Regions from separate parts of the Mus musculus genome. Here regions 1, 3 and 4 are each reported to be linked to region 2. Evidence: microRNA targets listed by miRTarBase, many of them from high-throughput screens and not tested one by one. Region 2 holds a microRNA gene; each other region holds the end of a gene's coding sequence.
What was found. The annotated mature microRNA mmu-miR-374b-5p reads AUAUAAUACAACCUGCUAAGUG and lies in region 2 at 1,283-1,304, opposite strand. An mRNA with a match to its seed (bases 2 to 7 or 8) in the 3' UTR can be bound and repressed. Matches are read on the target gene's strand: a 7mer-m8 pairs with bases 2 to 8, a 7mer-A1 pairs with bases 2 to 7 and ends in A, and an 8mer does both.

Region 1: the mRNA of Fzd5 is a reported target of mmu-miR-374b-5p. The part of its 3' UTR that is shown has no 7-base or 8-base seed match.
Region 3: the mRNA of B3gat1 is a reported target of mmu-miR-374b-5p. Seed matches in the 3' UTR shown: 7mer-A1 at 3,704-3,710.
Region 4: the mRNA of Ints6 is a reported target of mmu-miR-374b-5p. The part of its 3' UTR that is shown has no 7-base or 8-base seed match.

The regions. Positions count from the first base shown.
Region 1 is chr1:64,731,402-64,735,401 of GRCm38, forward strand. Fzd5 (frizzled class receptor 5) reads right to left here. Exons shown (of 2, transcript NM_022721.3): 2 at 1-4,000. The coding sequence ends at 3,442. Among named protein-coding and RNA genes, the nearest start is that of Fzd5, 4.3 kb to the right of the region's middle.
Region 2 is chrX:103,571,830-103,576,029 of GRCm38, forward strand. It overlaps Mir374b (microRNA 374b), which reads right to left and starts at 1,325; the gene lies at 1,231-1,325. All of the region lies in intron 9 of Ftx (Ftx transcript, Xist regulator (non-protein coding)), which reads right to left. It overlaps Mir421 (microRNA 421), which reads right to left and starts at 1,167; the gene lies at 1,092-1,167. Mir374c (microRNA 374c) reads left to right here and starts at 1,256; the gene lies at 1,256-1,304.
Region 3 is chr9:26,757,352-26,761,351 of GRCm38, forward strand. It overlaps B3gat1 (beta-1,3-glucuronyltransferase 1 (glucuronosyltransferase P)), which reads left to right. Exons shown (of 7, transcript NM_001310766.1): 6 at 342-442; 7 at 1,798-3,999. The coding sequence ends at 428. Among named protein-coding and RNA genes, the nearest start is that of B3gat1, 26 kb to the left of the region's middle.
Region 4 is chr14:62,690,189-62,694,188 of GRCm38, reverse strand. It overlaps Ints6 (integrator complex subunit 6), which reads left to right. Exons shown (of 19, transcript NM_008715.2): 18 at 515-657. The coding sequence ends at 608. Serpine3 (serpin peptidase inhibitor, clade E (nexin, plasminogen activator inhibitor type 1), member 3) reads right to left here. Exons shown (of 9, transcript NM_001199945.1): 9 at 1,946-2,122. The coding sequence ends at 2,079. Among named protein-coding and RNA genes, the nearest start is that of Serpine3, 29 kb to the right of the region's middle.

The DNA.
Region 1 (4,000 bases), not on the chromosome of region 2:
AAGCCAGGCTGTTTCTTTCCCAGGATCACTTGATTGGACTTTGGCGACAAGAAAGGGCAGAGAGAGGCAGCAGACAATTCTTAGCCGCTGTACCTCACACCTGCCTGGATTTGTGATGTGCTCAGTCCTGTTTGCCAGTGTTAGAACGCACTTATTCAAAGCTTTGTCCCTCCTACCCCCCTGGGTCTTTCTGTAGATAGAGCACAAAAGTGAAAGCAGCTTCCTTAGCAGGGGCAGCAGTTCATTAAAATATACAACCGTGCTTCCTAGCTCTGGGGTTCCCAGCCACACTCGCCGGTGCAGGTCACTGATGCTGTTATTAAGGTTCAGTGTATGATCCATGATGTTTTCTCCTGGCAGCCGGTGTCAAGATTAGTGCTGCCCTGGCCCAGGAGGGAACAGCCTAATGAATACCAACTTAGAACCAGTGCCATCCGCACATTATTTAAGCTTGTACATGCGCACAAGTGCACACAAGGCAAGCGTGCGCGCGCGCGCACACACACTGGCCCTGGCCACTGGTAATGATCACAGGAAACTGTGACAAAAAGGATTGCAAGAAGAAACCAATAAGGCACCAAGAAAAAGGATTTTCTTCCAACTCAGACAACTTCAAAATGTGAGGAGGGAAATTATATAAATTTAAAAAACAAAAAGCCTTCCTAATATCTGGCCATCGGAGTCATTGAGGTCCTGCTTCTTTCTTTAAACTACCTAAATCCTCACTCTCTAATCTGTGAAGCATCCCAGGGGTTGAGAGGTGAGTGAGGTGGCCAAAGGCACGCGCCCTGGATCTGAGACCAACCCTAGTCCTCTCAGCTACACAAGGCTGGCGGTGCACAAGTTGCTGAACTCCCCCAAGGCTTTTCATTTCGCTTCTTGTTATCAGTACAGATATGCAAAGTGGAGGAAAACGTGCGGTGGGAAGAGGGTGGGAAGAGGGGGTAGTCATCCGAAGGCAGCTTCCCTCTTCCCTCCCCTAGGGCTGGCTAGAAACTCCTGTTGGCTTCAGGGAAGCAGGTGCGCTTTGTCTCTCTAAGGGTAAGGGAGAGGGGAGCAGAGGACAGAAAACTCCAGGCCTCTGAAGCTCCATCCAAAGGCATTCCCGGCCTCCAGCTCTAGCATTGCGCCCACTTCAACTGCTGTATTGTTCAAAGGGTATTATTAATCATTCTTTTTTTTTACAGCTTTGGCATGTTGCTTAGATGGAAAAAAATAATCATTCTAAAAAAGATGAATTAAATCACTTTCATCCGCTCCACCCCACAACTTTTAGATACACTGTATGTCCAATTCTCGATTTTCTTTGTGAGAGAGGAACAACCCTAACTATGCACAGCAGACTGAGGGGGGGTGGGTGGGGAGGGAGCAGCAGATTCTGGGAAGACCATGCTAAACAAGGCAAGAGGGCAAGGTGATAAGAAAAGAACCTCATTTGAAAAACAGAAGTGGTGCATAGCCAGTGAGTGTGTTGAGGTTCCCGGAAGGAAAAGGGCATCGGAATAAGACCTTCACAGAGTCCTGCATCTAGGTGTACAAGGTCTTGTGGAAGCCACTGAAATTCTAATTCTGACTCCAGTGAGCGAGGGCAGAGTATTTTACAAATGTGAACACCCTCTGACTGCTTACATTCCCAGTGGGAACTACGCTTTTTTCCACTCAGTCCCTGGGGCATAAAGCTGGCTCAGGCTTAACTCTCCCTACCCCCAACCCACCCCCCAGCTGCTGCAAAAGAAAATCGGGATGCCTAGACTCCAGCTGTTTCTCTAGGAAAGCTTGGTGACATTTCAGTGGCTTGGCCATTTTAGATCCCTAAATTCAGTCCCCGCTCTGCCTTGGTCACTGGTACGCCCTGCCATTTCCTTCCCAGTAATGGCCCCACACTCTTAGTGAATGAATAGTTAAATAGATTAGGAAAGCAAACAGACTCTTCTAATAGCAGGGAAACTGGGTAAGGGGGTGTCCATCACTATACAGGCTCTCTCAAAAGGGGGGGGAAAGAAACCTGGTCTCTCCAGCAGTGGCTTTACACTTACAGTAGCCCCCATATTACAAAGCTTAAGTTAGGAGTCTTGTTGGTTTTCAGGCTACTAGGGCATGGTGTAGCTGCTTTGGGGAATATATCTATCTGGCTTTAAACCTTGAGTTCAGGGCCATTTGTTTTCCCCCTGAGCCAAGGTTTGTTCCCAGGTAACTAACCTCCCTCCCCCAGTCTGAGCACTTCATTGGTGGGTGGGTGTGGTTTCTAATCACCACTCTCCACCAGGAGGAATAAGAAAAGCAAGGAGGACTGTTTAACATGATAAAGGAGGTGGGCCGGAGCCGCAGATTCGAAGCAATGGGAATTTACTTTAATTACTGGAAGCATATCCGTTTTTTGTCCTTTAATCTAAAAGAGAGCCCCCTTTAGCAAAGAGTCCTAACTACTTCCAGAAAAAGGGAGTGAATTTATTTTTACTGAAATTTGTAGCCTAATTTTTTATTCTCAAAAGCTCGGGGGTGGGGGGTGGGGGTGGGGCTCTCTGGAGCATCTTAAGAGCCACCCTCTCCAGCAGAAGGCTCACCACCTCACTAGTTCAGAATTCACATTCAGCCAATCCCCATCCCTCAGGCTCCAAGGCAAATGTTTAGGTCCGCTCTATAATGCCTCCTCTAACTTATTCAAGACACGACAAGGGCGGCTGGCTCTATCGGGGATGAGAAAGATGGCAGCTCGGCTGCCAAGAGCCCAACGCTTGCTGAGCAAGGTTAAGGAGGCTCACAAAACTCTAACCTTATCATGTGAGGGATGGTCCTAACCACATCATGGTCTACTTTCACAGAGGACTTGAGGGGGCTAGACACAGAAAGAGCAGATGGCCTCTGGCCTCTAAGTGTCCTGGACATTTTAAGCACTGTAAGAAGAAACTACCTTAAAACACACACACACACACACACACACACACACACTCCACACCTTCCCACTCACAGCAGCCTTTCACTGTTCACATTTATAAAAAAAAAAAAAAAAGACACGTATAGGAAATATATTTTCCTAATTTAGACCACACAGTCCAAAAAAACCTGAACCAACAGTAACCTCATTACAATGCCAATTTGAGGATTATGTAGCCCCCAAAGCAAAGGTAAATTTTGTTGCCAAAATGCAACAAAGTTAAAACTTAAAATACATATAAATTAAAAACAAGGTACTTCTAAAGAAAGCAGTAAGAAATGCAAACTAGAATACACTTAACCCACTGCCCTGCGAGCCGAGCCCCCTGTAGAAGACTGGGGACAGGTAATCTCTTGAAACCGCCCCCTTTTCCTCTCCAAGCCACTCTGGGAGGGGGCATCAGCACCAAGAAGGTAAACGGAAGTGACCTTCACAAAGCTACCAAGCGAAACAACTGCCCCCTTCAACTTCCAGCACTGTCCCTGGGCCTCGGCCTCCAGGCCTTCCTATACGTGCGACAGGGACACTTGCTTGTGGTATGCGGCGGTGGGGCCAGGCGGCCCGGTCCTGCCGGTGAGCGCGGCGCTGGCCTCCGCATAGTCTCCTGCGGCCATAGCGCCACCGCTCTTGTGGCCCCGCCGAGAGCTGCAGCAGCAGCGGCTGGTGAACCGCCGCCAAGACTCCAGAGTCTTGCCGGACCAGATCCAGACTCCCGACGTGATGCCCACCACCAGGCACATGAAGTACTTGAGCATGAGCACCCAGTACTCGGGTTTGGCGCGTGGCTGGCCAGCGTCCGGTCCCGGACACGCGCAGGTGAGGGCTGCCTCCCAGCTCTCCCGGTAGTGCTGCTCATACAGGTAGCAGGCCACCACGATGCTGGCTGGCACCGTGTAGAGCAGGGTGAAGATGCCGATGCGGATCATGAGCTTCTCTAGCTTGTCCGTCTTAGTGCCACCCTGCTTGATGACGCTCCGGATGCGGAAGAGTGACACGAAGCCTGCCAGAAGGAAGAGCGTGCCCACCAACAGGTACAGCACCAGTGGGCCCAAGACAAAGCCTCGT
Region 2 (4,200 bases):
TGGTTTCTATCTGTGGTGGTGTAACATGCTAATCTTCATCCCTCTATAGTTTATCTTAAAAGATGAATTAGAGAACAGTGCAACTTTCTAATGAACATGTGCCCATGTCTATAATCCTAACAATTGTGAGGCAGCAGCAGGATTGCTACAAGATTGGGGTCTCCTTGATCTTTGTAGGTAGTTACTAGACAGCCAGGACTACCTAGCAAGAAACAAAGAAGGAAAACCACAAATCTCGTGCTTCTTAGAGTCCATGCCAAACCTCAAATCCTTTCACGACCACTCCAAGTTGTCTTCTTCATATGTCTGCCTGCTCCAGTGAAGAGATGGATCCTTTCATAGAAAGCTATTCTAGCAGGGTGTACATTCTGCCCTCTGTGGTGCTTTGAAGGAACACCGTGGCCCTACCTCATGTATTTGAACACTCATATCCCAGGTGGTGGCTACATTTGGGAATGTAATGGGACCTTTCAGAAGGAGAACCTTGCTTGAGGTGTGTCACTAGGGGCAAGACTGGGGTTTTCTACCCTGGTTCCACTTCCTGTTCTCACTTAGCTTACCACACTGAGGCCATGCCTGCTCTGTTACTATATCCTTCTGGAGCTATGAGCAGCAATAAAATTATAAATGGAGGTATGGGGAAAGCGGGTAAAGGAAAATGAATACCAACCATAACAGCACACCCCAGATTTTAAAGACGAAGCTCCTACTCAGTGATCACTGTAGTCCAACCTAGGGAGTAATCGGTAGCGATTATAGTAACAACAACAGAGATGCAACAATGACAAGCAGGCATTTCCAAAACACAGGCATAAATACAGTATTTCATAGAAAATATCACATTTATGGTACATGAGCTATTATCCCTTCCTTCCACACCCTCAGGATAGAAAAGAACCAGATATGGAATCCTTTTTATAAAACACAGTCGAGGCACAATTATCAATCAATTGGAATTGGTTTGAAAGGTAAAATATATCCACTATGATTATACTACACAGAACACAGGAATGAGCTGCAGAAATAAGGACGCTGCGGAGAGCTTGAACGTTGAAGGCCACTGGCAGGAACAAGCTGAGCCCATGGAGATCACAGAGCAGGCGCCCAATTAATGTCTGTTGATGATTCATTTTTTCATTCAACAAACATTTAATGAGGCCTACAATGTGCACCGGATTAGGCACTGTGAGTACAAAGTCACCATCCTTGCCCTTACGGATTAGTTTGATAGACGAGAGCCATAACCTCGGACAATGATAATACAACCTGCTAAGTGCTAGAACACTTAGCAGGTTGTATTATATCCACCCGAGTAGGATTTCTTCAGAGGAACACCACTCCAGGTTGCTGCGCGATCCATGAAGTTCTCCTGATCACCAAGGCCAGCTGTTGTTTCTTGCTCTCCAGGGATGACAGTCACAAGAACTAACATAGCTAGTTATCAGTTAGAATTCGGCTTCAGGTCAACTGTGACCATTCCCCAAACATCCTTTTCTGTGTTTATACAAAAACCTTTATTCAGCTATAACACAAGTTTTCAAAAGCTTTTAACTTAGAACAAAGAAGAAAGGCAATAGATTACTAATCAAGAGCATGAATGGAAGAATCATCGAGTTTCCTACATGGGCTAACTTCACATTAGTGAATCATTAAAAACGTCCATGATCCCTCCCCACAACACCATTGACCATTCAAAAGGTATAATAATAATTAACTTTCTTCTTTTAATTCTTGCATTGCCCGCTCCATCATTAACAGCAACAATAACTAAGATAGCATTGAGTGGACGCAATTAACAAACAGGCCAGCTAATGCCTATGCCCAAACCCTAGAGTCACTGTTTGCATGCACACTTCAGAGCTTCCTTTCCCAAATCTGAACCATTTACTTAAGTAAAATTGTCCTCATTATAAATGCATTATTTGAATAGTAAAGATCAATACGATAGGTCTGAGTAGAAAACATGTTCATAGATTTTGTTGTTTGTTTCAGTCAGGGACTTGTTATGAAACCCAGACTGGACTCAAAGTCAAGATGGTCTTCCTGTATAAGGACCCGAAATGCTGGGATTCTAGGCATGTGCCAACATGCCTTGCTTTATAATGCTTTGAGATCAGAAACCCTAGAGTGGATATTACACATATCTGATGCTTCAAAGTAAAGCAATGAACATTTCAAGTCTCTAAACACTTCAAAAGAAAAATAAAGTTCAGGAGAAAGCCTGCCAGTGACAAGAGACTATTCAGATGAGAATGATGGGGCACCGCTGCTATCTCCGTGTCTTACTGAGGATTGGCAGTTCCTAGATACGGCTCTTCTATGGAGAAGAAACTAAATGTATATCTAAGGAATGAGAGGATGGCAGCTATCCATGACAAAAAATTCCTTCCCTGTAAAACTCTCCTCCATATATCCTACCCCAAACCTCTTAGCGAGTAACTAGTCAGCCTGTAAGGTTTAATCTATATACCTGAATATCTCTCATCTTTGGGACTAATTCAATATCCTGACTACTGAGAGAACTGAATAATAATAATAATAAATGATTTGAACTGTGGACAAACATTTAGATCAACATGAAAAAGTGATCTGAGAGGGAAACAGACTCTTAAAAAACCCCTTGTAGCCCCGACAAAAGTTACTCATGAGTTAAAAGACATTTGTTGGCAGCATTATCAATAAATAATCTTAGCCTGGGGTTTAAGATTATAGGGTAATAAGCACCTTGAAATTGAAGACCCTTAAGGTGTATCTATATTCATAGTTAGAAGTTTAAAATGGACAGACAATCTGGTATAAATCGTCATGTCTCTGAGCCAAGTAGGAAGATGAACAGCAGCTCCAGTGTCTTGAGCCCAATTCTCATCCATACTCAACTAAACACAACCTTGCAGTATAACCCATTTTCTGGCAGTCCCTTAGACAAGGAGCAGAAAATACCTTTAAACGAATTCAAGGCCAATAAGGATGTCTGGATACAAATTTCTCCAACAATATGTTACTGAAAACTTAAGCCTTCAGAACCACTGATTAAAGTTTGCATAAAAGCTACATTACCTAACATAGTAAGAGACTATCAATCTTTCTTTCATTCCTTGTTTACCCTGTTGAGACAGGGTTGCTCGATGTAGCCCTGGCTGTTCAGGAACTGGCTTTGTAGACAAGGCTGGCCTTGGATCATTTCAAGGTAGACAAAGGGAATGTATCCTTGATGTGATTTTCCCATTTACAGATTATGTTTATAAAATACTGTTTGTAATTTTCATTGTCAGCTATTCCAAAAACAAAATGTAGAAGTGAATAATATTGCCTGTTTTTTTTGTGCTAGAGATTAAGCCCTTTGTAACACACATGTTGGGGACATGCTCTACCATGAGCAGGCAACAGGAACATCCTCCAAAATGCTCTATCCCACATACCCAGAGTTCCTGCGCTTGTTTTCTACATATATATTAGATATGCAAGGGTAGACTATAGTCTTCCTGGTGCACAGAATTTTTATGATTGTGCTTAGGTGTTAGATAATTGCCTTTAAAACCTCACTGGAATGCATCAGAAGGCTGTTGTGGTGATCATTAAATGGGAACATATCAAGTGGAGAAACAAAGTTTTACTAGAAAATGGGGACCATCAAAGCGGTTAAGGATTAAAGTTGATTTTCAAGATTAAGGTGTACAGGCCGGGGGTGGTGGTGCACGCCTTTAATCCCAGCACTCGGGAGGCAGAGGCAGGTGGATTTCTGAGTTCAAGGCCAGCCTGGTCTACAGAGTGAGTTCCAGGACAGCCAGGGCTATACAGAGAAACACTGTCTCGAAAAACAAAACAAAACAAAACAAAACAAAACAAAACAAAAAAAAACAAAAACCAAACAAACAAAAAAAAGATTAAGGTGTACAAGAGCAGGACTTGCCCAGCATGTGCAAGGTCCTGGGTTAAAGCCTAAGCACATTTAACCACAAAACACTCTAGGTAGAAGAAAGGGCTGCACGGAACTATGTATTCTCATCTCAAAGACGCTCAAATGGAAAATCTTCAGTATCAATTATCACAAAAAGACAATTATTGGTAAAATATAAGTTATAATCCAACATATATAGCAAATAACACTCGTAATAAGTCTTAAGCATTGTACAAAAAATTAAAGTGTCTTAGAAGAATTCTATAGTTAGGGTACATAATGGAAGTCACAAAAGGAGAGTA
Region 3 (4,000 bases), not on the chromosome of region 2:
GTACATAGACACATACATACATACATACATACATACATGCATACATACATACATACATACATACATGTACATACATACACACATGAAGACTTGAGAAATCTTGAGATGTGTCTGTTTTCTGTAGCTTAGATTTTCTTGGTCTCAGAAGACATTTTGAATGCGTCACATATACAAACAGCAAGAAAGAGGGGATGAGTGAAGGACGGTTTAAAAACCTTGATGGAACAGAAGTAGAAAGGAAGGGGGCAGAAGAAATACTTGCCACATGTGGAAGGGAGCCAGAGGGTGACAGAATGCTCTGAGGATCAGCACCACTTTCTTTTGTGTCTCCGGATATGCAGATCTTGGTCTGGCATACACGAACAGAGAAGCCAGTGCTGGTCAATGAGGGGAAGAAGGGCTTCACCGACCCCTCAGTGGAGATCTGAAACTAAAGATGCAGGTAGGAGAGAAGGCCAGAGTGGCCAGTGCAATAGACAAGTGGCACCAGTTTGGGATACATCCTCCATCTCCAAGGACTCTTCCTTTGGGTCTTGTGGGAGCCCAAGACCCATGTGGGCAGAAGCATGGCCAAAGATTCTGTCCCCAACAACTGGCTGCTTCCATGCATAAAGCTGAGTCCTGCTAGTGTCACTCTTTCTTTGTTATTGTCCTGCTGGCCATGGGGTGTGACCCACAGAGACGAGGTGCAGTATGGACTTGCTCACGGGGTTCTGTGGATAACTTCTAACATAGAGTTGTGATGAGGATGCACCACACCAGATCAGTATCCCTGTAGCTTTCTTTTTTTATTGTCCATATTTTTATTAGGTATTTATTTCATTTACATTTCCAATGCTATCCCAAAAGTCCCCCCCACACTCCCCCACCCACTCCCCCACCCACCCACTCCCACTTCTTGGTCCTGGCATTCCCCTGTACTGAGGCATATAAAGTTTGCAAGACCAATGGGCCTCTTTCCACTGATGGCCAACTAGGCCATCTTCTGATAAATATGCAGCTAGAGACACGAGCTCGGGGGGAGAGGGGGGTACTGATTAGTTCATATTGTTGTTCCACCCTGTAGCTTTCAATAGCAGGTGAAAGAGCTCACTAGGCAAACCCTAGAGCCCACTCCCAAGCCAAGGTGCCACATTTCTGTTTGGCCTAGTGACATTTCTCTGCTCCTGGCTTTTTCTTAGGTGGAGAGCACTGAAATCAATCTCTGCCATGTAACAAATCCTATGCAATAGATCTTTTTTTTTAATTGTTTATATCCCTTTCAATTAGGTCAGAGTATCTGCCTACACTTTAGAGGTGACAGTGCTGTCAGAAAAGCTAAACAACGTGCCCAAAGTGACACATTAACCCAAGAGATTTATGCTAAATGATTGGCCAAGCAAAATATTTTTATGGGGCCTATTGTGCTCTTGCCTCTTGTATCCACTGCTCCAGAATTTGCTACTCTAGACCCTATCACAGATCCAGGGGCTCGTAGCAGACAATTACATTAAATTTTTGCCTTAGTACATCTGCAGACATTATGTTTCTGGGACTACAGGGTGTCATCCTGAATCCTGAAATCCTTGGCCAGTGCATCTTAGAATGCCTTGGTCCAAAGCTTCATCCCATCTTTTGCCCTTATATGTTACTAGAAGAACTGCTACCACTTGCTTTTCAAAAATGTCTCCAAGGGGAACCCGGGAGGCACCATGGCGTCCACTAGGGGCTTGGAATCAAGCATTCTGTTCTACTTGCAGCTCCAGCTCCACCTTGCCCCAAGCTGACACCCCTGTTGTTCCTACTTTCCCCACACAGGAACCTCCTTCTCAGACCCTGATCTTGGCCTGCCATCCTCTCCCATGGCTGATAGTCACTCTGAGGCAGACTCCAGAGGAACAACTCTTATGTATTCCGAGGGCTTCCAAGAGAGCCCAGCTTGATGTCAGGATAAAAGACAGAGAATTTAAGCACAGAATCCCAGACCTGTGGTCCTCTACAGCAACATGGCCAGGGGCTTAAAAGACCAGAGAGCTGGGGATTCCGGTTGCCAGCCAAGCCTGTGCTCGGCACATCTCCTTGGAAGCTTCCTACATTGATGGGGCTGTGTGAGCAGGGGACCCTGCCTTGGAGTGATACTGGGGTGAGGGAGGTCAGAAAACCCTACTGTGGAGTGCAGCATGGCTCTCCATGGCTCCCTGCTCTTGGGCCTAGCATGACTATACAGCATGTGCCCAGCCAGGACATTCTGAAGACCAGAGAGCAGCCTGGGGCATGAAGATGCCCCAACACTCCTCTTTCACACCTGCTCTTCCTCAGAGCTGCTCCCAAATCAGAAATACCTCTGGCTCTCCTCTGGTTCATGTTTACAGGACATAAGGCTGTCTTGGATCCCACCTGGCACCCTACCCTGCATTGGGGGAGCCTGGGCCTTCCTACAGCTCCCCCTGTACCTCAGGCTGTAGGAGAACAAAGCCCTTTCCCATGTCCCTCAAGCCTCCTGCGCCAGAATCGGCAAGGTGGTGGGCTTAGAGCCAGCACAGGTCATAGATCGACCTGGATTAAGAACCAAGTCACCCCAGTGTCCCCACTGCCTCTCCAGTACCCCTGGGCTGCAATGCCCCTTGCTGGGTTTGGACTGAGGAGACAATTGCCCTCTTCCTGAAACCCCTAAGAATCACAGATCTCGGGGCGCAGATAACAATAATAAAGAGGCAGAGCTCTTCCTGAAAAAATGTGAGACCCAGCAATCCCAGTCCTTTCCTGAGCCGATTCTGTGAGGGCTGCATTAGAATGGGCTCAAGGTCAAGAGCAGGAAATGTCTACACACTGAGAGGAAGGGCGACCTGAGCACATACTGCTTTAGAAATCACTCTGTCTCACACAAAATGGGAAAGCTTGCAAAGCCAACCCGCCTCGTGCCCACTGCCCCTTCTCCACCCCGGACAGAACAGTATGCTCACGCTGTTGCACCTACCCAGCCGCCCAAAAGAACCATCTGCCTGGGTGTTCAGCATCTGAGAGGCCCCTGGTCCTGGCTACATGGGGCCCTCTGGTGGTAATCTCACTCCAGCTCCTACAAGTTGGAAGCACAATTTTCCTCCCAAGTGGGGGAAAGGAAAGGGCGCAAGCCCACTGAAGAGGCGTTTATTTTTTAACTGCTAACAGCTCCCCCCACCCCGCACCTTCCCCCAGTTCCCCCTCCCCCCGCGCTCCATTAAAACTCATAGGACAGGCCCGGGAGTCATTCCGAATCCACTCTCGGGTGGATGAGACTCAGTCCACACATCTAACTTTCAGAGAATAGCATCAGCTGCCTATGTTGAAATGAATTTAACTTCTCACAGTCTTCAGGACACCACCTGATGGGATCAGACCCCACAGCCCCCTGTAGGACATCTCCCCCTAGCCATTTATACTTTGGATATTGTTTTGGAAATTTACTCCTTGGCATCAAATGAGAGGCACCGGGAATTTATCCGATGGGTGAATTTATGTCTGGGCACCCTACTGCTCATTCATAGAAACTGTCAGTGAATGCCAAGGTCAAACGGGCTGCTAAGGCTGCCTTCTTAGCCAAACTCAGTGCTCTTTTTAGGAAACTGAAAAAAAACAAAACAAAACAAAACAAAAATGGGGATTTTTACTTTTCACGTTTTGGCAGATGCTACTTCAGTTGTTTTCATGTAATGTCCTCCCTTCACTGCATGTGTATTTATTTAAAATTATAACCCTGGTGGACTGCGGCCTTCATCTCTGTTGGGAATGAGTTTGTTGCAAATCAGAACTGGGTCCATGATGACAACTTTCCCTCCAAACCCAGGCTGCAACCCCGCTCCCTCGATGGAAAGCCCCACCACAGAAGAGTTAAGCCAGGGGTTCAGGAGCACCATGGGCAAAGGCTGGTGTGAGGGTGGGGCCCAAGCTGCTGCGCCATCTGGTCTGTTTTTATTTAACTGTATTTAATTTGTTTTCAAAATTAAAAGTCAAATATGGTTTTTAACAGTTGTAATCCTCTTCA
Region 4 (4,000 bases), not on the chromosome of region 2:
ATCAAGAATTTTAAAAGAATATAATAATTTACCACGGAAAACGTCCATAATTTCTCAAGGATTTATGTGCCTATTTAATGTTACCTGAAAACATAATATTATGTTTTCAGGGCAGACCTGAAACTGGAAGAAGACTCTTTGTCCTGCTCTCAGCATTCCTTGGTTATCCATTAGTTCGTTGTTGGAGCTGAAACCTCCTGAGTCTTCATCCACTCTAGCCTGTGTCTGTTAGTACTGTCCTTGGTCAGCTCATGTTTAGGTAGTTGCCAATAGACTTTACGTATTGGTTTTTGTTTTTTTTTAATTATCTTTTTTATTTACAAATCAGACGTTGCCACACCTCCAGTCTCCTACCACAGTTCTTCTTTTAGCCTCCCCCTACCCCCTTCTTTTCTTTTTCATTTTACTTTAAAACAAACGACTCTTTCCCAAAGCCAGTTTTTCTCTTTGAAACATGCTAGTATATACTGTTCATTAGTAGGTAATTAAGAATGCTCTTATTTTTCTTACACAGGTTTAAGAAACGAATGCTAATAGAACAACTGGAGAACTTCTTGGATGAAATTCATCGAAGAGCCAATCAAATCAACCATATTAATAGCAATTAAAAGAAAATAGAATGAGGCCACTTATTTCATTGTCTTCTCCAAATACAAAGTAAATACAAGACTGTTGTAATCTTGTATTCATTCTTTGACATGCATTGTTGGCTATTTGAGATACTAAAAACATTCTACAGTTCCTTTCCATCATTTTACAGTGCCCTTTTCATTTTAGCTTACTTTTGTAAAGTGAAAAGTATCACAAATTTTTTTTCTTTCTTCCCTTTTTTCTTTTTCTTTCTTTCTTTTTTTTAACCAACTAAAACTATTCTTCAAATCCTCTGCTTGTCATTGGCTCTTGCGTGTCAGTTTCCCTCAGGTTATATTTTCTTAAACCAACCTTTAAAATTGTCAGCTCTGTTAAGGTTGAACTTTGCCAAAAAAAGAAAAAAAAAGAAAAAAAATTAAAAACAAGTTACTTTGTAATTTTTGGGGAAAAAAAGCACATACATTAAAAACTAGGTAATGTTTTGTATATACAGTTATTTTGGATATATTATTGTAAGTTGTACAAATGTATTTTGAAGAATATTTAAGAAAAGCACTTTTGTTATTCCATCAATAAATGCTCTATTTTACTCTTGTGTGGTTTAGGAAATAATCACATTTAAAGTAACTACTTAAAAACATTCTAAAACAATGGAATTTTAAAGGCCTTGCTTTTTAGCATTAAAAAATACACAACTTAATATTTGTTAAACTAATGTAATTATATGTTACATAGCCTGCATTGTCTTTTTAACTATTATATGTTCTTAGTTTTTGTTGGCCATGCCAATATACTCCACTCTTGCCTGGATAATGGTAATACTTACTAGGTCTGTGGCAGATAGACAGATGGGCAGTTTTTTTTAAAAACAGTTTTAAAAGTAGATGAGTTGGGGCATTATTGGCTTCTTAACACCTTTCAACCTTTCTTACAGGATTTAGATGGCACTCTAGCTGTTAGTTAAGGTGTGATAGCTTTAGGGTATATCATATTTGGAGAAGGCTAGTATGCCGACATTTGGTCCCCTCCCTCCCCCGATGCTTAGGTGAGTTTATAATATGATAATTCAGAGTGGATCTCTTGGTTCTGCTCCCTGATTCTCAGAATCTAACTGGAGAGGAAACAGACTTAGACGGCTGTACTCATTTCTTTCCCCCTTATTTGCACAGGATGAGGATATCTGGCACTCCATTCTCCATCCTCACAGGGCTGCACATCTTTACTAAGGATGTGACCATGTGTCCTGACTCATGCACATATTCATAGATCACTGCCGTGCCTTTTAGTGGTTTGGAGGGAACCAGTAGAAAAGGTTAGAGTTTTTAGATTTGGAATAACCAAGGTGAAAAAAAATACCCTTTAAATTATTTTTTTAATTGAATTATTTTTAGATTAATAATATTTGGAAATCACATACTCTTAAAAGAAATTGTAAATATTTATGAAGGAAAGCATACATAGAGAAAACATTCTTGAGGTCTGCTATTTTAGTCAAGGGGATTTGAAACTCTTCCGATACTGAAGACAAACCCTGTAAAGAAAAAGAAACATTTCATGTGACTTGTGGTATTTTCATAAAACAATTCATTAAACATTTCTAACGTCTTCACAATTTCTGGAAGTAAATGAAGATATAATTTAGAGATGGAATTATTAAAATAATTGCCTGTAATCACACTGCTAAATTTATACCAAACTATACAAAATCCAGATTAACTTTGTGGTTGTGAATTATGTGTATTAAGAGTGAGATCAGTGGGAACACTGGAGTCATTTAGATAGGAATTATATTTAGTCAGCACATGGGGGCTGTCCTTGGAAGGGTCTTTATGTCATAAGCATGGTGGAATAATTCTCAGATCTTCTTCCTTTACTACAATTTCCAAAATGAACCCCCAAGGAGTGTAAAATAACAGGATCTTCTGTGTCTGTGTTCTACCCTTCTCCCTTTCCCCACTCCTCCTCTCTGTTCCTTTCTCTGTCTGGCATAATACTGTTTACATTTCTAATACTAAAACTTAGTCTGAAAATTTGCAGCCTATCAAAAACTAAAGCTTAAGATTCCATCCACCTCAGGCTTTTGCCTTTCAAAGATGGTGGGCAAGTTAGTCAAGCTAGTGAAGTTTCTACAGAATCCTTGTTAGCCAAGGCAAGGGAGGATATATTTGGGGATGGGTATTTTATTCTTTGAGATCGTGGAATGATGTTGTGTTGGACAAGTGCTCTCCAAAGGGTTAATGTTAGAGTTCTAATTTTCCTTAATGTTCCCCTATGTGTCCTATTTGTTAGTTGATTCATTCATCAGTATAAGACTTGTAAGCTTTTAACAGTGAAGGCCGAGACTTTTTTTAGGTTATTTTTATTTTAAGAGTTTTGTCTACATGTATGTAAGTGCACTACATGCGGGCCTAGTGCTTGTAGAAGCCCAAAGAGAAGAGAGTGTGAGATTCCCTGGAACTGGAGCTGCAGACTCCTAGGAGTTTCCATGTGGGTGCTGGGAAGCAAATGCTCTTAACCATGGCCATCTTCTAGCCCCAGCTGAAGGGTCTAAGGGATTTAAAAATCCCTTAAGTGATATCAGAAAATTATCCACTTTGCCTTGGGTAATGTGAACAACCATCATCCAGAAAACTAAAAAGCTACAAGGACGGAGACTGGTGAGTTAGGGAACTGGTTTTTTTATTAGACTTGTATTTTCATTTTGATACTTGAGCGGTAAAAATTATATTGTTGAAAGTGTGGTGTGTCTTTTCTAGTCTAACAGCTTTACATGGTTTTTAATACAGTTGAATTTTAAGGATCTGTTATTTGTCTTCTAACTGTCCTCTTTACTGGATATGAGCTTTAGGCAGTGGCCCTTCTGTTCAAGGTTAGTCCTCCCTCTTTGAGAGTTTAATTTAAAACTTGCTTTTTGTTGTTACAATTATTATTTTTATTATTTTTTACATAATCTCTGCTGTCTGTTCTTAGTGACCAGTGCCGTTTTGTGTAGTCACAGTCACTGTGGGGTCGGGATAATCATGGTGAAGTTATGTTATGAACTCCTTCTTCCCAAATAATCTCCAAGTAGATAATTTTCCAGGAAATGATTACCTACATCCTTTTGTCAAGAAATGTTCTTTTGATTTCTAGCACAAATATGACAGTATACAAATGATTCTCAGATAAAATGATGTTGACAGTATTTTCTTTTAACAGTCTGTGTTAAACTATGCTAATTTTCATTCTAACTTTCGATATTCTTTCCACAAATAAAAGTGATGCCTGATGTTTAGTTAAAGTAGGTCCACCTTGGCTTGATTTTTTTAATCTTGTTCCATACTGTTGTTTTGAACACTACTGAGAATTGCCAACAGCTCTTTACTGAGAATCTCTTCCTTTTGAGGCCAATAATTGTTACAGGGAGACT